3 linked regions of the Lonchura striata genome follow. The protein of the gene in region 1 purifies or fractionates together with the protein of each later gene. This does not show direct contact. Links are inferred from orthologs where the notes say so. Each region holds a gene or a part of one and is shown in the gene's direction. Other genes may lie near its edges.

Region 1 (7,145 bases):
TCAGAGGGACTTTGTACAAATGGCTTGCACATTCATATTTTCCTTGGAAAACTTGAGAAGAGCCTGTGGTGTCCTGGATCCTGAGTGATCCTGCCCATCCAACCTCTGAGCATCACCTCAGGAAAGGGAGAGCCTTGGAGCTGTAGCTTCACTTTGTGTGGGCTCTGGGAAATCCTGTTCAGCATCAGAGACTGGATTCTCCTTAAGGAATGGGGTTGTTGTTTTTGTCACTGGAGCAGGGCTTTGACTTTAATTTTTTGTGTGCTTGTTATTGCTGGGTAAGAAGTGCAAGGAGTGCTTGGTGACAATTCTGTGCTTGGTTGGATGATACAAAACCAAGCAAGAGACATCTCTAAAATCTACGCTGGAGGAATATTTTGCCTGGGTGTGGTTGAGCCACCCAACACAGCCCTAAACGTGGGAAGACCTTTGCTTAGCTGGGCTTTGTCACTCTCAGCAGAGCAAACGCTGCATCTGTGTGAGTGCCTGGCTCTTTGTGCTCAAAGCCACCCACCTAACACACCCTGGGGACACTTTGGTCACAGCTTTTCCCTGACAGACTGGGTTAGTGGAGGTTTACGAGGCAGCACTGGAATTCCTCCTGCTCTGGGAGCACTCATGCGCTGGCATCATCTGTCCCTCTGCCTCCCCTTCACACCAGCTCACATCTGCTCTTACTCACATGTGACAAAAGCCACTACCTGAGCACTGGGGGCAGGAGAGCCTTCCAAGGCAGCAGCAGCTGCCTGGAGCCCTGGTTCTGTGCTGGAGCAGCTCTGGAAGAACACAGCTCAAGGAGAAGCCCGTGCCCTGCCAGGGTGCTGTCAGCTCAGGGCAATGAGGGGACAGATGCACCATGCGTGGTGACAGCAGCCACCAGCTGCTGACACCAGGTGACAGAGCCTCAGATGATGCTGAGGATCTGTGCGAGCCCCCAAGGAGAACAACCAGGGGAGTGGGAGGGCAAAACCCCAGTGGGAGACCAAAGCAGGGGGAAAAATAAAAATTACATTGGATAAAGCCCTGTGTTCAATGGTAAAAAAGCTCAGGTAAGACAGGAAAAGTTTAGTAGAATGTGTTTTTATCTGTTAAAGACAGTATTTTGGGACAGGGGTGACAAACACAACAGGCTTTCTGTGTCTGTGGGGCTGTGGTTATAGCATGCTTTTGATAGTAATTTCTCCAGGGCCAAGAAAAGAGATTAGTACACAAATCACTTTCAGTTTTATTCCATTTTGACATTTCAGGGTCTCCAGCAACTTGGCACCACTCTGCAAAGCCAGAAATATTTGTGTGGCAAAAATGTGTTTTGAATTACAAATATTTCAACGTTCACAACATGTAACATAGGAGACCAGGAACATTCCTTGGCACAATTGCCAAGCAGAGGTTTTGGTGCAGGGCAGCCTCCTGTAGGTGCTTGTAGTGCCATAAGCATGGCATGTGGCTTCTTCTGTTCTGCTTCTTGGAGTGGCTGGCTGATCAGGAGAGCAAAAAATCTCCTTGGAAAGCAGCAGTGGAAAATCCCCTTGGAAAGCTGCTGCAGCTCCGGGGTGGGTTTGGAAGGAGTCTATAGGTGCTGACCTACATTTAAGTAAGGAGAGTGAGGGGAAGCTCAGCTGGCCCTTGGGATGACACAAGGGCATTTTCCCTCCAAGCCAGGTCTGTCACCATCCTGGCGTATGAATTCATTCCCGGTGAAAGGTGCCAGACTGACATTCAAAATATGGGGAAAAAAAAAAAAAAAAAAAAAAAGAGCCTTCTTCTTAATAATTCTTTCTCTTCTTTGTGCTGATGAAATACAATGGGACATTTAAATCTGATTTTTATAACATTTTGCATTGCTATAGATCATGGTCTGACCTGGAGAAGACACTTTGTTCTGACTACAATGATCTGATATTTCATATTTTAGTGGCTTTTTTTTTCTTTTTTTTTTTTGTCTTCCCCACAGTATTTCTGTTGCATTCTGGCACAATATGGGCTCCCTCCAGTGGTCAAGGGGCTCCGGGCTCCTGGTGTCGTTTGCCCAGAGGCTGGCACAGGGTGGCTTTGGGGCTGGCATCACAAATTCCAGCGGGAATCGTACCGGGACCGTGCTTCTGTCCCCTCGAATGCCCCGCTGCGGGTGCCAGTCCCCGGCAGCATCACCAGCCCTGCCCGGTGAGCCCTGCTCCGCTCAGATTTCAGCGGAACAGCCCCAGCGGATAAAAATCCACGCTCTGGATTTCCTTGCACTTCCCAAAACGTTCGCTGCAGAAGTGGGGAGAGGAAACAGGAGAGGAGAGAAAACCGGAGATCTGCTGGAAAGACCCAGACACAACAATTTTTAGCAAAGAAAAAAAAAAAGACTAATTTTTTGCATTCCGCTCTTCCCGCGGTATTTTGAGACCAGCTCCTGACTTTCTCCTGACAGAAGCAGCTAATGTGGTTGTTGTGGGGGACAAGCCAGCCGCTGCCACTCTGAAATGTGACATTTCCATCTCCCCTCCCCGACCTGCGCAGCTCCCCGGGCTTGCTCAGCCACGGGCGCGTTTCAAACACCGGGATTGTTTTTGGAGGCGCCTGGGTAGAACGGGGATCCCCTCCGAGGGCCGAGAGCCCTGCATGGGTACCCCGGGAGTGTCACCCAGGGGTGTCCCTGCAGGTGTGCGCTCACAGCTGGCACAAAGAGGGGGGCTCCCGGCAGCTCGGGGTGCAGCAGGAATGTGTTTAACCCCCTTTTCCACCGCTGTGTGTGTGAGAAAGCACTGATGCCGTTTCCCGGGTGGGGATGACATCCCTGTACCCCTTTGATTTGACACCCACGGGTGGGGGTGACCTCCCTGTACCCCTTTGATTTGACACCCACTTTCCTGTATGGGGGGTGTCCCCCCCGTACCCCTTTGATTTGACATCCACTTTCCTGTATGGGGGGTGTCCCCCCCGTACCCCTTTGATTTGACATCCACTTTCCTGTATGGGGGGTGTCCCCCCCGTACCCCTTTGATTTGACACCCACTTTCCCGGGTGTGGGTGACCCCCGCTGTACCCCTTTGATTTGACACCCACGGGTGGTGGTGACATCACTGTACCCCTTTGACCCCCACTTTCCCGGGTGTGGGTCCCCCCGTACCCCTTTGATTTGACACCCACTTTCCCGGGTGTGGGTGACCCCCGCTGTACCCCTTTGATTTGACACCCACGGGTGAGGGTGACATCCCTGTACCCCATTGATTTGATCTCCCCGTACCCCTTTGATTTGACACCCACGGGTGGGGGTGACATCTCTGTACCCCTTTGACCCCCACTTTCCCGGGTGAGAGTGACCCTCCCTGCACCCCTTTGATTTGACACCCCCTGTACCCCTGTTATTTGACCCCCACTTTCCCGTGTGGGGGTCCCCCCGTACCCCTTTGATTTGACACCCACGGGTGGGGGTGACCCCCGTGTACCCCTTTGATTTTCCCCCCCGTACCCTTTGATTTGACCCCCATTTTCCCGTGTGGGGGTCCCCCTTTGATTTTTTTTTGGGGGGGAGGACCGAGCTCTCCGCCCCCTCCCCCCGCGGGGCGCGGGCTGGGCGCGCGGCGGTGGCGGGAGGGCGCGCGCCTCGGCGCGGAGGGAGGCGGTGGGGGGCGTGGCCCGCGGCGCGCGCGCGCGCTCATTTGCATAGGCGTCGGCCTCGCCGCCCGTTTGGCCGCGGCCGGCGCGCTCATTTGCATCCGCGTCACGTGGGGCGGAGGGCCGGGCCGGGGGCGGGGCCGGGGGCGGGGCGGGGGGGGCAGCGCGCGCCAGCTGCCGTTGGCGGCCGGCGCGGGAAGGGGGCGCGCGCGCGCGGAGCCGCCCCGCGGTCTCGCGCTGCCTGGCGGGGCTCTGTCAGTCAGCGACAAAATGGCCGCGGCGGCGGCAGCAGCAGCGGCGGCGGCAGCGGCGGCTCCTCGCCTCCCCAGGGCGGCACCGGCGGCGCGGAGGAGCGGGGGATCGTCCCGGCAGCACTGAGCCCGGCACCCGCCTGCCCTTTGCGAGGCGAGAGCGAGCGGGAGAGAGAGAGAGAGAGACGGCGAGCGGCGCTGCGTTCCCCCCCCACCACCCCCTCCCCCTTCTGCATCCCGGCGGACCGACCGAGCCTGCCCGAGGCGCTGCTGCGGCTCCCCGGGGACACGCCGCCCCGCTGCCCAGCCGGATCCCTGCGGAGGACACGGAGAGAGCCGCGGCATCGCCCCCCTCCCGCCTGCCCGCGGAGCCCGCTGCGAGTCCCCGCTCCCTCCTCCCTCCGTGAAAAGACTTTGCTGGATCCTCCTCCCCGGGTCCCCCCTCCCCGCGCTCGCCGCTTCCTGCGGGAGCGGCTGCTGGATCCTCCTCCCGGCCCGGATCGCCCGCGGGGTCCCTGCGGAGCCGCGGACCCTCCTCCCCCGGCGGGGACAGCGCTGGATCCTCCTCCTGCCCGCAGCCCCATGCCAGGCTCCGCATCCCCCCGTGCCTCCCGCCCTGCTCTTTGAGGCTTTTTGCTTTTTTTTTTTTTCCACCACCACCACCCTCCTCCTTTTATTTTGAAGGGGGGATCCATCTTAAAACTCTTTTTCTGGATCCCGGTTTCTCTTTTTTTGATTTGCACTTTTTGAAAAACCCTCAGATGCTCCTCCATGTGGACTGAGAACCCATCAAGACACACACACCAGAACTCATCCCGATCAACTCCAAATCCTGGCTTTCCGTGGGTTTTGCTGCAACACATGAAAGCAAACTTGTATTTAAGACACACTCGTGCAGAAATTTAGCTGGGGACTTGAACGTGTATTTTGTCTTGGTTTCTTGGTCTTGGTTATTTTTTGTTGTTTTTTCTTATTTTTTTATTTTGCTTCACTGGAAATCAAAAGCTTGTTTTGGAATTGGACCTGCTTTTGCTGCACTTCTCCTCTGGGCTGGATAACACTGAAGCTCCTTGCTTTTCTACTTGGATAGTGTTTTCCTGTTGATCTGCTGGGGTTTTTTTTTCATCTCCTGTGTGGCAGACTTTTTTTTTTTCCCTGAGGGGGGTAAACAAACGACGACAACAACAAAAAACTTATTTTTTTTGGCCGTGTGAGATTTTTTTCGTATTCATATTCGTGAAATTACGGGTACATTTACAAAAAATTAAAAAAAAAAAGAGAAGCATTAAAGATAAGAAAGGAACACGTCAGAAAGACCCCTACACGGTAGACAAAATACTCACTTGTTTCCTTACAGCAAGACTGAATCGAAAGCTGCCAAAGAGCCCCATAAAGAAAAGACTAAAAGGTAAGAACGGGTAAGAGCCTTTCTTAATCTGGGCACGATAGAAGTTAGCAGGGGAAGAGACCTGCAAAACCTGTGCATTCCTCCTTTTTCACAAATCTAAACTAGATTATTATTATTATTTTTAAATTGTTTATTAGTCAGCGAAGCAAGGAACACCCCCAAACATTTCAAAATCCCTTTTATTTTTATACGATTTTTAAAAAAACGCGAACAACCTCCGGATTTTTTTTTAATGGTAGAATTAATTCGGTATTTTTCCTCTGTCCGGAATCGCTGTTTGGCCACGAAGAGCGAGCAGAAAGTGCCATTTGTGAGCATGTTGTGCCATTCAGACATGACACGAAGGCAGCTTCTGCTGCAAGGCACGACCGTGTGCTCTTGCTTTTTAGAACTTACACGTGTGAAAATTATCGCAGAGCGGCTTGGAAATGATCCCAGGGCTGGGAAATTGTGGGCATGGCCAGCAGTGCTGCCCTGTGGGCGAGCACATGAGCTCCAGCTTTGTCCTTCATGGCTGCTTTCTCTTAAAAAGTTAAAATGTTCAGCTTTGGTTTATTTTTCCTCTTTTCCCCCTCCGCCTAATGAGATTGTGAGGATCCGCAGTCATTTTCTCCTGAGTATCCACAGAGAGATCTTCGTCTAAACCTGGAATGTCCAGGGGGAGAGAGAATATTAAACTGAGTTTATTCCTTTAACTGCGACGCAGGAGGGGAGGAAAATGGGAAGGGCTCAGTTGTTAACCTGAGAAATCTTGAAACGCTGGAAGTTTATTAATTGTTCGAGGCTTCTTTGTTTGTATCACAAGTTTGTGTCAAAGGTTAATCTTCTTAATATGTAATTAGTTGAAGGTTCAATTATGGGATTTATTGAACTCAATTGGGTTTCCCCCCTCTTTTCCCATTAAAAATAATACTGCAGGTCTTTGTGACTAGTTTATTTTCTGCTACAACTCGAGTGTATCTGCGAGAAGAGATTTATTCAATTATTCTAACAGCCAGTTTAAATTTAGAAATAATCTTTGGGACGTCATACCCGTGTCTGTTGCATATTTTCCCTTCTCGTTTGCATATGTATGTATCTGGCGAATTATGCTAATTTATGTACAGAAATTTGCTGTGGACATTAGGCCGGTTAAGGTAATTAAAATTCCAATAAATCCCGCTGTTAGTGGTGCAGAGCTTTAAATCAGGTGGGTGTCGGTGGTGCTGTGGACCTGAGGACAATGCCAGAGCGGAGGACCAGGAGAACATCTGCACTGCTGCTGGATGCGCTGGGAGAGCCAGGCATGGCTTCCAAATCCTGCCCTCCTTCCCGGCGGTGGGTGGGGTTTTTTGGGCTTTTTTTTGGGTTTTTTTTTTTCCTTTGGATTCCCCGACGACTGAGCATTTAAAAGGAGTTTCCTCTCGGATATTACATTTTTTAAAAATAATAATTTCGAGAAGGCAGTGGGAAGGTACACACGGGTTCTCACTGCTTCCCCTGGTGTTTTCCAAGGAAATAGGAGGTGACTTGCAGTGGGTGCAACCTGTGCTTAGCATATCACGGAATTTCCTTGCTGCAGCCCTGTTCCTGGGGTTCAGGAATCCCTGGGATGTCTGCCTGCCTGCTCCTGTGTGTTATTTGTGAGCTCAAAATGGTGTGCTGAGCAACAGCCCCCGGATGCTGTGGCTTCTGGAATTCTTTCCAGACGTGAAAACATCAGTGTCAGCCCTGGATACCCCAGTGAGGAAGCTGCTCTGGGGAGCACTGTGGTGCTTTTTGGCTGGGATTGCAGAAGCCTTGCTGGTGGATAACCTAACCTGGCTGCTTCCGAGCCCGAGACTCGCAGTCTGTGGGAAAAAAAAAAAAAGCTATAGTAAATCAGATTAATTTGAACTTTTTTT
Region 2 (7,820 bases), on another chromosome or scaffold:
TGGCTGTGAAACTTCCCTGAGGTGGATATTTGACACTTGGGGGATGGATGGTGAGGAGCAGTGGCAGAGATCTCGCTGGATGTGCCTGTGCATTGCCAAGGAAGATGAAAACATCAGCAAGCTCTGTCATTATCATACAAAAAGCAGTCAGCCCTTAGCACCTCACCCTGAATTAGCTGTGTGAACACTACAGAGCTGATGCTGAGAGTTAGAACATGACCAAGGCCACTGGTGGTCATCAAAGTGGTCAGACTCAAGAGGTCTTTACCAAGGAGACTTGAAGTTGATTGTTCCTTTCTCTGTTCTTGTCCTTGCTACACTATTTGGTTGCTGCTCATAACCTTCCTGAGGTGATTCTTCTCTCCTCAAGCTGCCTCTGTCCCATTCTAAGGCTGCAGTTTCTCAGTGACCAAAGGCAAAGCGTGGCCACAGGGCCAGGGCAGTGATTGTCCCCCCGTAGTCAGCACTGGGGAGGCCACACCTCGAGTCCTGTGCTGAGATTCGGGTTCTTTACTACAGGAAGGACATTGGAACCTGTCTGGAGAAAAGGAACAAAGCTGGGGAGGGAAGGAGCTGCCTGACAGGAGGCTGAAGGTGGGGCTTGGTGTCTTCTGCCAGGTAATGATGATAGGATGAGAGGAAATTACTTCAAGTTGTGCTCAAGTTGTACTCAGGGAAGTTTAAATTCACTATTAAGAAAAATTTCTGCATGGAAAGGATGGTCAAGCATTGGAACAAGCTTCCCAGTGAAGGGATTGAGCCTTGGAGGTATTTAAAAGACATGTAGATGTGGCACTTAGGAACATGCTTTTTTTCCTGGTGAACAGTCTCAGGTACAGTATTTACTTCTTTTATCTTCTTTCTGGAAAGTCTTTTTTGTTCCTAGTTGGATTTTTTTGTTTTTTGGTTGAGGTGGGTTTTTTGTTGTTGTTGTTGTTGTTTTTGGTGGTTTTTTGTTTGTTTGTTTTTTCCACTGTAACAAGGTCATTACAATGAAGAACAAAACTCTGGTATTTCTTGAAACTGTAACAACCAGTGAGTGTAACACATCCCCAATAGGTGGTGCTGCATCTTTTCCATCAAGTTGAATTGTTGCATTGTTGGCCCTGATCAGCTGGAAAAAATTGTTTTTTTGAGTGAACTGAAGTTAGTAATCTAATGATAATTAGTTGTTTTGTTTTGGGTTTTTAAAATATAAATTATTATTGCAATTCATTTGACAAAATAAATGCAGTTTTGTAACTTGGTAGTTGGGAGAGTTATCTATAGAAAGACAAAAATCATGTTTTGGTCCCTCCACCATGGATTAATTGTGGTTTAATATCTAATTGTTAAAATAACAAACAGTTCCTGAGCAGGGGGCCAGAACCCTCAAAGTGTTTGTAAAATTTGAACACTTTAGTGCATAGAGCCATGAACTTCTTCACTTTGGCTCTGATTTTAAATTCTTATGTAAAGCAGAATGCAGAATATGTGCCAGGTCCAATGCATGTACTGCAGGATAACATCTTAAAAGTTAGGCTAGTTGAGAGATGACAAACAAGAGCTTAAATCCCTTCCAAGTCAAGAATAAAATTCACATCTTTCAGCTCTGAGTAAAAATTTTTGCTACTGTATCATTGCAAACAATGACTGTCAGACATTTATAAACTCTGGGGTTTTAAAATTAATTAAATTTAAAATGGGAATGGTTGTTACTTAGGTTATGTTTTCTCATAAAAAGAAAAGCTGTATCATTTGTCACTAGCCTATTTGTGTATAAAATATTTTCCCTAGATTGCTGCCACTGCTATAAATGATTTTTAAAATGCTGCTCCTAAATACCATCTTTGCTTCAGAATTATTAGTACATACTTTTTTCCAAAATTAATAATTTCTACTGTGACAGATATCAGTTCTGGGAAATGTCATCTTGAAATTCAGCAGTTAAGAAAGGTATTGTGCCCAGCAGTTACTAATTTTTTTTCTTTTGAAAAACCTAATTTTAAGTGTTTAAGAAGCTGTTCTTACACTACCGTATAATTGTTAATACAGCATATAAAGACCATGCTTAAAAAAATGCTGTTACAGAGCTTTCAAAACTCTCTTTCAGAACAAACCTTTTCAAGAACTGAAGCCTTTTTTCAGTGAAATGGCCCAGTAAGACATAATTAGGTTTCACTGTGCTCCAAAACAGCAGTTGTCAGTGACAGAAAGCATTGGAAATAAAGCAAGTGACATGGCCCAAAATGAGTGTGTGAACAAAGGTAATGCAGGTCTAACAGGCACAATAGTATGTCTAATATTAGAGAAAGTTATATTCCTAATCAGGTTGAAGAGATTGGTTTAAATATAGCATCAAAAAATTAGATGTTGATACAGAAACTGCATGTTTTCCTCCTGCCACTTCAGCAGAAAGGTCAAATGTGCCTCTTCTGGCTCTTGTTTTTGGGTATTTTTCCTCATCCACCCTCTTTTTCAGCCTCCAGTAAAGATATATATGAGAAATTATTGGTGGTTGTGAAAAAATGTTACCCAGCTCCTCCTAGGGAGGAAAACAGCAGCCCCTTTGCCAGCTCCTTTGTTTATCTTTTTCTTAGACCTGCTTGGCTTTACTTTAAAGTTGGCCCATAATTTTGTCCTTTATTTGTTTATAGTTACAGGTAAATCTTTACTTTCCAGCAATTTGAGAAGCCTGGAATGAAGACAAATCCAAAATCACTCCAGTGGAAACTCTAGTGGTGACAATGGTTTCAGGAGCAGTTCACTTGAAGTGAAAGCTGAGCTGTTCATTGCAGCCCTCGAATATCTGCAAGTATGACCCAAAGGGGAGAGTAAATACTTTGGAACAGTGAGATGCTTCTGTATCACTTGAAATATGAACTGATGAAGAAGGATATTAATTGGCATGATGAACACTACAAGCTGTATGTTTGCTTTGCTCTTTGGCAGATAATACTTGGCGAAGGAATTCAGTTGACTTTGACGGGGCTTGACTGTTCTGGGTTGAAAACTGCATACATTTTTTAAAGGCTTCCACATCAACATGGAGGAAGTGATTGAAAGTATGGATCACGGCTCTGCTGGAATTCTGTAGGTAACTCCAGTGGAAGTGAGCATCATTAACTTGCTTTTTGCCTCCTTAGCAGGTTTAACTTTATTTTTCCTGCTTTCTTTTGAATGGAAGAGGTACTAATTAGGTAACTACAAAAGGGTGACAGTTCCTGCAGGAATTGTCATCTCTGGTGTGAAATCATAGAATTGTTTAAGTTGGAAAATCCATTTAAGATCATCAAGTCCAACCACTAACCCAGCACTGGGAAGTCCATCACTAACCCATGTCCCCACATGCCACACCCATGTCTTTGAAATTCCCCCAGGGATATCTCCAGTGTCTCAGTGTATCATACTGATCAGCACTTTGGCTCTTTCATATCCTTTCTAGTTTGTTTTCTCAAGTACATTATCTGGTTGTACTAAACATTACATGTGTGCAGTACCAGACATTATCAGGTTGACAAAGACAATAAGGCAACCCCACCACAGCTGGGTTTCATAGATATGACTACAAGTGGATGTGGGAATCCATGAGGTTACTGAGCTGAGGTTTTCAGAGCAACAGGAGGAATAAAAGAATATAAACAAACACATCTAATTTTAATTCAAGATCCAGCAGTATGTGTACTATTGATACAACTCCAGCATACCTCTCACACTTGTAACAGGGAGAGGTATCGGAGAAAGTGCTAGAGGCACAAAGTCATTTTCCAAGGTCTCACTGAAAGCCACAGGATGACAGGACATAGTCTTAAACTGTGCCGGGGGAGGTTTAGGCTGGGCATTAAGAGGAGCTTCTCCACAGCAAGGGTGATTAAACATTGGAATGGGCTGCCCAGGGTGGTGGCGGAGTCACCATCCCTGGAAGTGTTTAAGGATAAAGAGTGGACATGGCACTCCGTGCTCTGGTCCGGTGGACGTGGTGATGTCCGGTCACAGGCTGGACTCGGTGATCTCCGAGAACTTTTCCAGCCTGGCTGATGCTGTGACTCCGCGGGCAGAGCTCGGGCGGGGACTGCAGGCGGGGACAGGGGGCTGCGGCGGGGACAGGGGGCTGCAGGCAGGGACAGGGGGCTGCGGCGGGGACAAGGGGCTGCAGCTGGGACAAGGGGCTGCAGGCAGGGACAGGGGGCTGCAGCGGGGAGAGGGGGCTGCAGCAGGGATAAGGGGCTGCAGGCAGGGACAGGGGCTGCAGGCAGGGACAGGGGCTGCAGGCAGGGACAGGGGCTGCAGGCAGGGACAGGGTGCCGCAGCGGGGAGCGGGGCTGCAGCTGGGACAAGGGGCTGCAGCGAGGAGAGGGGGCTGCAGGCAGGGACAGGGGGCTGCAGCTGGGATAAGGGGCTGCAGCTGGGACAAGGGGCTGCAGCTGGGATAAGGGGCTGCAGCTGGGACAAGGGGCTGCAGGCAGGGACAGGGGTCTGCAGCAGGGAGCGGGGCTGCAGCGGGGACAGGGTGCCGCAGCGGGGAGCGGGGCTGCAGGCAGGGACAGGGGGCCGCAGCGGGGAGCGGGGCCCCTCGGCTCGGCGCCGCTCCGATCCCGTCCCGCTGCCGCGGCCGTTCCCGCCCGCCCGGCCGGGGGGCGGAGCGCTCCTTCCCCGTGACCCGCGGCTCCTCCTCCTCCCCTCCCCGCTCCTCAGTGCCGACGAGTAACCTGGATTCCCGGCCCTCCTCCTCCTCCCTCTTTTTTTTTTTCTTTTTTTTTTTTTTTTTTTTTTTTTTTCCTCCTCTCCCCTTTTCTTTTCCTCCCCCCTCCCCTTCCTCCTCCTCCTCCCCTTCCCCCGACAGCGTAACCGGGGCTCGGGCTCGCTCCCTCCCCCGTGCCCTCCCCTGGAGCCGCCGCCGCCTCCGCCGCCGCACACACGGAGACATGTACCCGGGAGCCCCCTCCGCCGGACCCGGTGAGCTTTCGCCCGGGTTTGTTTCCCCCCGGAGCGGCTTTCCCGGTCCGTGTCCCTGGGGAGCCCCGGGAGCGCCTCGCTCCCCCCGGCTCGGGCCTGGCTGGAGCGGCGGCCGCGCTGGCCGGGGAGGAAGGAGGGTCAGGGCGCCGCCGCCGCCTCGGGCCGGGCCGCGTGTCCGGAGGCGCCTCTGAGGGGAGGGTCGCCTTCCCTGCCCCGCTCCCCCTCCCTCCGCCGGGCCCCGAGGCCGGAGCAGCTCCCGCTGCGGACCGGGGTCTCCATTTCCTCTCTCCCGGCTCCATGCTGGGATTCCCGGCTGGCCGCGTGTTCCTCGGAGGCCGCGCTGCGATAGTTGTGCTCTGGAGGTCGGGGAGCGTCCGCATGCCGGGAGGGCTGGGGGAGGCGAGGGGCAGCGTGAGGTGTCCTCAGGCTCGCTCTGCGTGGGAGCAAAGGAAAGGTGGACGTGCAAAGCAGGGTTAGCAACTCTCGGGGAGAGTTTAGTATCGCTTTGGGGAAATGCAGGTTAATACTGTGCGAGTTTGTGCAGTTCGTATGAGACAATGTTTTCTCCTTTTTAGTGTTAGGTTGTTTCTGCGGTGAGAATTCTTATGTAGAAACAATAGTGTTTGGGTGACTGGCACCTAGTTTTCTTGTAGAAAAGTTGCAGAATAAATGGAACTTTATTTTATCCCACTGTTCTCAATTGTTTTGCAAAACATTTCTTCCGTTAGAGGGATAATCTAGCAAGGACTGGTGTAGGGAAGTACAGGACCTGTAACTGAGATGTCTTTTAGTGTTTCTCTTACAGACGCTTTGGTAAAAGCATTTATATTTTGGGATCCACTGTTAGGTGCTGGCTTTTTTTTTTTTCTTTTTTTCCTCTGACTTGGTTCTCCTGAAGGGGCAATAATTAGGAAAGACAATCAGGATGATTATTTTCCTCTTGAAGTAGAGATCCTCCGTTTTTACTTTCTCACCGGGCACAGCAGGCAGACAGGTCTCTACAGCTCTGTGTCCCCAGACTGGTGTTCACGATCTTGCTTTCATGTGTAACATCAATTGCACATTTCACATTTCAGTACCGATAACTGTAGAACTACAGGTGTAATCCTTTGGTGGTTTCTGGTGTCGGGTTCCCTTGCTCAGGCACAGGTACACTTTCAGTTTACAGGTGCTCATGGTGCCTCAACATCGGGCTGATGCTATGTTCACCTCGTGGTGATCTTGTTTGAAAATGTGCTTAAGGAGACAGGTAATTAAAAATATTACCAGCACATGGGCTGAGAGTAGTTTCATGTGTGGGAGTCTCTTTATCTTTATTTACTCTCTATTCGATCCTACCACTTTCCCTTTCACTTGGAATGTTCTCCCAGCTGGTGGCTGCTGTTTGCCGTCAGGGATGCACGTTTGGTGTGAAGGAATGTTTTCACCTTCTTGGAACAACAACGTCTTAACCTCGGGCTGCTGACTCGGCTGTACTTTCACCAAGTTCTAGGTGGCTGTGGGTTGTCACCGGTGTGTGTCTCGGGCTCCTGCTGTTCTGCTGCCTCCAGCCGAGCTCATCTTGTGTCTTGTTTACTTCCGAGTTTATCAGCGTGGCTCAGCCCTTTCCCCGTGTCTGTGCCGGGGTGGGAGCTGCGAGTTGTTCTCCACATGGTGAGCGAGGCTCTGCTTCCTTCCTGTGAAATCATCCACGGACAGCCTCAGCAGCTCAGTGGCTTCTGGCAGCCCAGGCAGCTTCCTGCTCCACTCCACACACAAGGCAGGGCATCCTGGAGATTTTTATTAGAGCGTGGCTGTTCTGTGAACCAGCCTGGAAGCAGGGACTGTGAAGTCCCCTGCCACATGTTAATCTGAGAACTACAAACCCACTGTGTGTGAAATCCTGCTCGGAGGAGAGAGCACAAGTGTGGTTTACAACCCCTCACCGAGCCAGAGCTGCTGTGAACACAGCAGAGGGCTGCAGCCTCTCCAGGTCTGTCAGCACATCCTTGACACCAGGGAAAGGCTCCATTCATCTCTGCTCTGTCCGGATCCCCTGCCGGAGCCGCTGATGCGCAGGAGCGGCTTTGCTCTCCCAGCTCCCTGTCCAAACTGGGCTCTGCAGCGAGACCGTCGGAGGGTGCCTCTGGTGCTGGCCTCCTGCCAGAGGAACCGCTCAATTTGCCCCAGGGTTTGCTATTTTAGCCTTAATTATTTTCATGGAAACAAAATCAAGCAAGTTATGAGGCCATTTCTGACTGATTTCAAAACATTGCTGGTGAACGTGGAAAGTTTGCTCAAACGTGCTGTTGATGTCAGGAGTAAGGTTGGTTTTTGTGCACGAAGGGGTTGTCATGAAATCACTGTTTCCATAATTAGGAATTTAATGATCCCTTTTTGCTTGACTTGGTGTTGAATTTGCTGCGACACTGTGTCCATACCCTTTTTTATTAGCTCAAGAAAGTGTGAAAAGTAAAGAATCTGAAAATCTGACAAGAAATTATTTTTTGCAGAAAAATCTTGATACTGCTTTGATATTGTGGTGTACCTTTTCTTAGAAGGACAGAAAAATGTCAAAGTGGCATAAAGACTTGATTAAAAGCTGTATAAACTTCTGGAACCTGCACTTCTAAGTGTTAGTGTATTTATTAATTCTAAACTTTGCACACCACAGATTTTTATTCTTTGAAAGGATATTTGGTTTTGCCTGATGTTGAGGGTCTTAATGTATTGTTGAAGCAGCAATTGTCTGAAAAAGAGTGTGAAGTTGATTATAGCTTTGTGTGTGGAATACCAACGTTTTTTCCCTAGCACAAAAAACAACTTTATTAAATTAGTGGAACTAAAGTTATTTTCTTATCATTTAGTTGTAAGTTACCCTTTAAAAACTGTGAATAGGCTGTTGA
Region 3 (7,536 bases), on another chromosome or scaffold:
CACCCTCCCGGTGCTTCCCGAGCCCCCCCGGTGCCCCCGGCAGAGATCCCGGTGCTTCCCGAGCCCCCCGGTCCTTCCCGAGCCCCTCGGTGAATCCCGAGCCCCCCGGTGGAGCCCCCAGCAGAGATCCCGGTGCTTCCCGAGACCCCGGTGCTTCCCGAGCCCCTCGCTGTCCACCGAGCTCCTGGTGCCCCGACCGAGCCCCCCGGTGAATCCCGAGCCCCCCGGTGCTTCCCAAGCCCCCGGTGCCCCCGGCTGAACCCCCCGGTGCTTCCCGAACCCCTCGCTCCCCACCGAGCTCCTGGTGCCCCGGCAGAGCCCTCCGGTGCTCCTCGTGCCGCCGGTGCCCCCGCCGAGCCTCCCGGTGCTTCCGAGCCCCCCCGGTGTCCCCGCCGGGTCCCCCGGTGCTCCCCAAGCCCCCGGTGCCCCTGGCAGAGCCCCCGGTGCTTCCCGAGCCCCCCGGTATCCCCGCCGGGCCCCCCGGTGCTCCCCAAGCCCCCGGTGAATCTCAAGCCCCCGGTGCTCCCCAAGCCCCCGGTGCCCCCGCCGAGCCCCGCCGCTCTCACCAGCACCGGGTGCGGCTCTCGGACCGTCCCCAGCAGCCGCGCCAGCTCCCGGGACAGGACCCGGCAGGCGGCCCAGTCCGGGCGGCGGAGCGGGGCCGGCGCCGGTGCCGGTGCCGGTGCCGGTGCCGCGGGAGGCGGCGGCAGCAGAGCGAGGAGCAGCCAGAGGCGGAGGCGGCGGAGCGGAGCCATCCGAGCTCGTTCTGTGCCGCCACCGGCGCCGCCACCGGGCTCTTATGGGGCGGCGGCAGGTGGGGAATCCCGGGGCAGGTGGCTCCCGCCCCTCGCCGCCGCCGCCGCCCCTCGAAAGCAGAACCGATACCGGGCCGGGGTCCCCACGCTGCGCCCCGCCGCACCGGGACGGGCAGGAAAACCCGGGGCAGTTCCTGGCGGGATGGGAGCCACCGGCACCGGTATCGCCACCGGCACCGGTATCGCCACCGGCACCGGCGGCGGGGACGTCCCCTCGCTGCACCTGGGCTGCCCCGGCGGGCGCACCGGGAGCCCGGCGGCGTCCGGGCGGCGTCCCGGCGGTGTCCCCGCGGTGTCCCCGCGGTGTCCCCGCGGTGCCGAGCCGGACCGTGCCGTGCCGTGCCGCAATCCCGGCGGTCCCGCCGGGGCGGCTCCGGCGCTTCCCGCTCCGCCCGCCGGGGCTGCCCCCGGCTTTCCCCGGCACCGGGCGCGCCGCGGGCACCGGGGCCGGGCCGGGGACGCTGCCGGGAGCTCGGGACACTCGGGGACCTCGCGGGGACACCGAGGGAACACGGGGGGTGATGGGGGACACCGGGGACGGGGTGGGACGGGGGGGACACCGGGGGACACCGGCGGACACTGAGGGACACCGGGGGACACTGAGAGACCCCACGGGACACTGAGGGACACCGGGGGACATTTGGGACACTGAGGCACCCTCCGGGACACCGGGGGACACTGGGGGACACTGAGGGACACTTGGGACACTGGGGGACATTTGGGACACCGGGGGACATTTGGGACACTGAGAGACCCCACGGGACACTAAGGGACACCGGGGGACATTTGGGACATTTGGGACATTGAGGGACACCAGAGGGACACCGGGGGACACTGAGGGACATTTGGGACACTGGGGGACACTGAGGGACATTCAGGACACTGGGGGACACCAGGGGACACTGGGGGGGACTTGGGGACACTTTGGGACCCCGTGGGGTGCCAAGGACACGCTGGGACCTCGTCGGGCACCGTGGGAGCCCGTGGGGTGGCAGAGGACACCGGGGGACACCGTGGGGTGCCAGGGGACATCTGGGGACACTTTGGGGTGCTGGGGGGTGCCAGGGGACCCCAGGGGACACCGGGGGACCCCAGGGGACAGTGGGGGACACTGAAGGGCAGCTGGGGACACTGTGGGGACCCCACGGGGTTCCCGGGACACTGTGGACCCCCGTGTGACATCGTGGGACCCCCGTGGGACCCCGTGGGACATCGTGGAACCCCCGTGGGACTCCGTGGGACACGGTGAGACCCCGTGGGACGCCCCGGGCTGCTCCGTGACACACCGTAAGCTCTCGTGGGTGACCGGGCACGCTGCGTGACACCCGTGGCACCCCAGAAGCCGCAGCCGGGGGTCCGGGAGCGCCCGGTGGGTCCGGGAGGTTCCCGGGGGTCCGGGAGGCGCCCGGGGGTCCGGGAAGCGCCCGGTGGATCCGGGAGGCTCCCGGGGGTCCGGGAGGTTCCCGGGGTTCTGGAGGCTCCCGGGGGTCCGGGAGGTTCCCGGGGGTTCTGGAGGCTCCCGGGAGTTCTGGAGGCTCCCGGTAGCCCGGGAGGCTCCCGGTGGTCCGGGAGGTCCCCGGGGGTCTGGGAGGCTCCCGGGGCTCCGGGAGGCTCCCGGGGGTTCTGGAGGCTCCCGGGGGTTCTGGAGCGCCCGGTGGTCCGGGAGGCTCCCGGTGGTCCGGGAGGTTCCCGGGGGTCTGGGAGGTTCCCGGGGGTCTGGGAGGCTCCCGGGGCTCCGGGAGGCTCCCGGGGGTTCTGGAGGCTCCCGGGGGTCCGGGAGGCTCCCGGGGGTCCCGGGACTCCCCCGGTGCTCCCCACCGCGGTCCCGCCGCCCGCCTCCTTTTTGTCCCGAGCGCCGCCCCGTCGCCCCGCTCCGCTTAGCCCCGCCTCCCCCGGGCGCTGATTGGTCGGTTCCCGGCGCTCGGCGCTGCCATTGGTCGGTGTCCCGGGGCGGCCCGGTGCACCGGGCAGGGGCGCGGTTGCCGTAGCGACGGCGGGAGCGGCTCCGGGCGCGGCCCGGCCGCGGCGGCGGCGCAGCGGGACGAGCCCGGCAGCGCGGCCCCGGCGCGGCGGTGCCCGCGGCGGCTCGGTAAGGGCGCGGCGGCGGCTCCGGGCTCGGGGAGCGCGGCCGCTCGGGCCGGGCCCCGCCCGGCACTGCGGCCGCTGATAGCGCCGCTCCCGCCGGCGCGATCGCTGTGGGCCCGCCGTGATAAAGGCGGCGGGTGCGGAGCTGGCTCGGAGCACCGGGGGTGGGACGGGGCGGGGCCCGGTTTGGCTGCCTGGGGCTTTGGGACACTGCCCGGTTCTCGGGGGCCGCTCCCCGGTGCCCCGGGACACTGCCCGGTGCCCCGGGACACTGCCCGGTACTCGGGGATCTGCCGTTCCTATCCTGTCACCGGTTCCAGGAGCTCCGGGGGTCCCGGGCACCCCCTGGGGTCCCAAAGTGTCCCCCACTGTCCCCTGGGGTCCCCCGGTGTCCCCTGGGGTCCCCTGGCACCCCCCAGCACCCCAAAGTGTCCCCAGATGTCCCCTGGCACCCCACGGTGTCCCCCGGTGTCCTCTGCCACCCCACGGACTCCCACGGTGCCCGACGAGGTCCCAGCGTGTCCTTGGCACCCCACGGGGTCCCAAAGTGTCCCCAAGTCCCCCCCAGTGTCCCCTGGTGTCCCCCAGTGTCCCAAATGTCCCCCAGTGTCCCAAGTGTCCCTCAGTGTCCCCCAGTGTCCCCCGGTGTCCCCAGGTGTCCCTCAGTGTCCCCTGGTGTCCCCCAGTGTCCCAAATGTCCCTCAGTGTCCCCCAGTGTCCCAAATGTCCCTCAGTGTCCCTCAGTGTCCCAAATGTCTCTCAGTGTCCCATGGGGGTCCCTCAGTGTCCCTCAATGTCCCATGGGGTCCCTCAATGTCCCAAATGTCCCTCAGTGTCCCTCAGTGTATCTCAGTGTCCCTCAGTGTCCGTGGTGTCCCTCAGTGTCCCTCAGTGTCCCTCAGTGTCCCAAATGTCTCTCAGTGTCCCCAGATGTCCCGCAGTGTCCCTGAGGGCCCCTCAATGTCCCAAATATTCCTCAGTGTCCCTCAGTGTATCTCAGTGTCCCTCAGTGTCCCTCAGTGTCCCTCAGTGTATCTCAGTGTCCCTCAGTGTCCCTCAGTGTCCCAAATGTCCCTCAGTGTCCGTGGTGTCCCTCAGTGTCCCTCAGTGTATCTCAGTGTCCCATGGGGTTCCTCAGTGTCCCCTGTTGTCCCTCAGTGTCCCTCAGTGTCCCAAATGTCCCTCAGTGTCCCTCAGTGTATCTCAGTGTCCCATGGGGTTCCTCAGTGTCCCCTGTTGTCCCTCAGTGTCCCTCAGTGTCCCAAATGTCCCTCAGTGTCCCTCAGTGTATCTCAGTGTCCCATGGGGTTCCTCAGTGTCCCCTGTTGTCCCTCAGTGTCCCTCAGTGTCCCAAATGTCCCTCAGTGTCCCTCAGTGTATCTCAGTGTCCCATGGGGTTCCTCAGTGTCCCCTGTTGTCCCTCAGTGTCCCTCAGTATCCCAAATGTCCCTCAGTGTATCTCAGTGTCCCTCAGTGTCCCAAATGTCCCTCAGTGTCCCTCAGTGTCCCCAGGTGTCCCCAGGTGTCCCTGAGCCTCCTCCCCGGTCCCTGTCCCCCCTCCAGGGCCGGGATCCACCATGAACTTCGAGGGGCTGACCCCGTCGCTGGCCGAGTTCGCGGCCCCGCTGCACCCGGCGCTGGAGCCGGTGCTGGACCCTCACCTGCCCCCCAGCCTGGTGGAGCTGGACCCCGAGGGGGTGGCCCTGGAGGGGCTCCCGGTGCCCGACCCCGTGCACCTGCTGGAGGGCATGTACAGCGAGCTGCACACGGCCGTCTCCGAGGTCGGCGTGCCCGCCGCCGTCGCCCACTTCGACCTGCACGAGGAGATGCTGTGGGTCGGCAACCACGGCGTACGTGGCGAGGGGCTGGGAGGCTCCGCAGAGGGGCTGGCGAGGGGGTGGGACGTTCTGGAGAGGTTTTGGGGAGGTTTTCGGAGGTTTTGAGGAGGTTTTGGGATGTTCTGGGAAGGTTTTGGGATGTTCTGGAGAGGTTTTCGGAGGTTTTGAGGAGGTTTTGGGATGTTCTGGGAAGGTTTTGGGATGTTCTGGAGAGGTTTTCGGAGGTTTTGAGGAGGTTTTGGGATGTTCTGGAGAGGTTTTGAGGAGGTTTTGGGATGTTCTGGAGAGGTTTTGAGAAGGTTTTGGAAGGTTTTGAGAAGGTTTTGGGAGGTTTTGAGAAGGTTTTGGGAGGTTCTGGAGAGGTTTTGAGAAGGTTTTGGGATGTTCTTGAGAGGTTTTGGGATGTTCTGGAGAGGTTCTGGGAAGGTTTTGGGAGGTTCTGGAGAGGTTCTGGGAAGGTTTTGGGAGGTTTTGAGGAGGTTTTGGGATGTTCTGGAGAGGTTTTGGGAGGTTTCGAGAAGGTTTTGGGAGGTTTCAAGAAGGTTTTGGGATGTTCCGGAGAGGTTTTGGGAGGTTCTGGAGAGATTCTGGGATGGTTTTGGGGAGGTTTTGGGAGGTTTCAAGGAGGTTTTGAGAGGTTCTGGGAAGGTTTTGGGAAGGTCTGGAGAGGTTTTGGGAAGGTTTTGGGAGGTTTTGAGAGGTTTTGGGAGGGTTTTGGGATGTTCTGGAGAGGTTCTGGGAAGGTTTTGGGAGGTTCTGGAGAGGTTCTGGGAAGCTCTGGGGGGATTTTGGGAAGCTCTGGGAATGTTTTGGGGTTTGGTGGAGTTGTGGGATGGAAAAGGAGAGGAAAACTCACCCGGTGACGCCTGGAGAGGTTCCCTAGAACAGAGACTAGCCAGAGTTGAAGGATAAATCAAATTATTTATTAAAAAGCCTTCAAAGGTGCACCTCGGGCAGTGCAGGAGCTCGCAGAGCCCCACCCAGGTGGGATGAAAACCCACAAGATTTTCAGCCAGATAAAAGTTTGCTCTATTTGCATATCAGAGTTTAATTGTCCAATTCCACCTGCAGGTAATTCAATCACATTCCCCCAGTTTGCTCCCCCCAATTCACTTTTTGTTTGCATTTTTCAGGGCCTGAGACAGTCAGGTGTCCTTGGGTTTCAGGCCTAGAGAGGAGCTGTTTTGTCTGAATAAAAAAGCAGCTGACAGGCTGTGGAGTTTTCGAGTTAACACCCTAAAGCAGTCACAGATCTGGAAAATAAAAAACTCAAATTTAAATTTGAGTTAAAATTCAAACTTAACATCACCTGTTCCACCACCCTGCCATGGCCTCCCACCGGTCCAGCCTGGCCTCGGACACTTCCAAGGATTGGGAATCCTCTGGGAAATCCATTCCAGCACCTCAGAAGGAGGGGTTTAATCCCAAAATCCTGTCTAACCCCACCCTGTGTCACTGTGGAGCCGTTGTCCCCTGTCCTGGTGCTCCTTGCTGATGTCCCAAGTCCATCTCCAGCTCTCTTGGAGCCCCTTCAGCCACTGGAAGGACTCCAAGGTCTCCACACTCATCCCATTCCTCGTCCTTCCACTACCCCAGGGTGCTCCCAGCCGTGTCCAACCTGGCCCTGGACACTTCCACAGCAACCACAGCTTCTCTGGGAGATTCCAGCACCTCACCATCCTCCCAGGGAGGAATTTCACCCCTCCATCCCATCTAAATCTCCTCTTTTGGTTTCAAACCTTTCCCCTTGGATCTATCCTTGTAAATTCTCGGAGCACAAACCTCTCACTGCTTCCCCTGTCACTGCTGTGGGGTGGTGTTGGGATTTTTTATTTATCCAGGGAAAAGCCTGAGCTGCTTCCCCCAGTTTGGAGCACCCAGGAGTGCCAGGAATGCACCCATAACCTGGAAAATCCTAAGCCATAACCTGGAGTTATGGGGTTGTGGGAAAACCCCCATAACCTGGAAAATCCTGGATCTGATAGTGGAAAAAGTGATGCTCAGCTGTGTCACACCCACCAGGACATGGGGTTGTGACATCCCTGTCCCCTCTGCTTTCCGGGCAGAGAGGATGTGTTGGGATTTTTTATTTATCCAGGCAAAAGCCTGAGCTGCTTCCCCCAGTTTGGAGCACCCAGGAGTGCCAGGAATGCACCCATAACCTGGAAAATCTGGGATCTGGCAGAAGATGAAGCGAGGCACGGCTGTGTCACACCCACCAGGACATGGTTGTGACATCCCTGTCCCCTCTGCTTTCAGGGCCACGCCACCTCCTTCTTCGGGCCCACACTGGAGCGCTACTCCTCCTTCCAGGTGAACAGCAGCGACGACATCCGCCAGATCCAGAGCCTGGAGAATGGCGTCCTGTTCCTCACCAAAAGCAACCTCAAGTACCTGTCCCGGGGCGGCCTCATCATTTTCGACTACCTGTGAGTGCTCCCGGCCCCTCCCGCCCTTCCCTGATCCCTCCAGGGGCTGGGCAGGGTTTTGGGGGTCTCAAGGGTCTCTGGGGTGTCAGGGGTCCCTGGGGTCTCAGGAGTCTCAGGGTCTCAGGGGTTTCAGGGGTGTCAGGCCTGTCAGAGTCTCAGGGGTCCCTGGGGTCTCAGGGGTCTCAGGGGTCCCTGGGGTGTCAGGGGTCTCAGAGGTCCCTAGGGTCTTGGGAGTCTCAGGGGTCCCTGGGGTGTCAAGGCTGTCAGATTCTCAGGGGTCTCTGGGGTGTCAGGGCTGTCAGATTCTCAGGGGTCCCTGGGGTCTCAGGGGTCTCTGGGGTGTCAGGGCTGTCAGATTCTCAGGGGTCC

What was found.
Region 2: the proteins of TNRC6C (region 1) and AGO2 purify together in Homo sapiens (co-immunoprecipitation; 6 studies listed by BioGRID and IntAct, with this or other methods). This does not show direct contact. The link is inferred for Lonchura striata from reciprocal best matches to the Homo sapiens genes TNRC6C and AGO2.
Region 3: the proteins of TNRC6C (region 1) and PAN2 purify together in Homo sapiens (affinity purification with western blotting; 3 studies listed by BioGRID and IntAct, with this or other methods). This does not show direct contact. The link is inferred for Lonchura striata from reciprocal best matches to the Homo sapiens genes TNRC6C and PAN2.

The regions. Positions count from the first base shown.
Region 1 is NC_134621.1:3,508,882-3,516,026, forward strand, and holds the start of TNRC6C (trinucleotide repeat-containing gene 6C protein), read left to right. Parts: upstream 1-4,109; 5' UTR 4,110-5,262; intron 5,263-7,145. UniProt on the Homo sapiens protein: Plays a role in RNA-mediated gene silencing by micro-RNAs (miRNAs). Required for miRNA-dependent translational repression of complementary mRNAs by argonaute family proteins.
Region 2 is NC_134603.1:5,032,628-5,040,447, forward strand, and holds the start of AGO2 (protein argonaute-2), read left to right. Parts: upstream 1-4,759; 5' UTR 4,760-4,904; coding exon 4,905-4,935; intron 4,936-7,820.
Region 3 is NC_134629.1:5,588,725-5,596,260, reverse strand, and holds the start of PAN2 (PAN2-PAN3 deadenylation complex catalytic subunit PAN2), read left to right. Parts: upstream 1-4,475; 5' UTR 4,476-4,477; coding exon 4,478-4,750; intron 4,751-6,997; coding exon 6,998-7,167; intron 7,168-7,536. Other genes in the region: IL23A (interleukin-23 subunit alpha), read right to left, coding at 567-755. UniProt on the Homo sapiens protein: Catalytic subunit of the poly(A)-nuclease (PAN) deadenylation complex, one of two cytoplasmic mRNA deadenylases involved in general and miRNA-mediated mRNA turnover.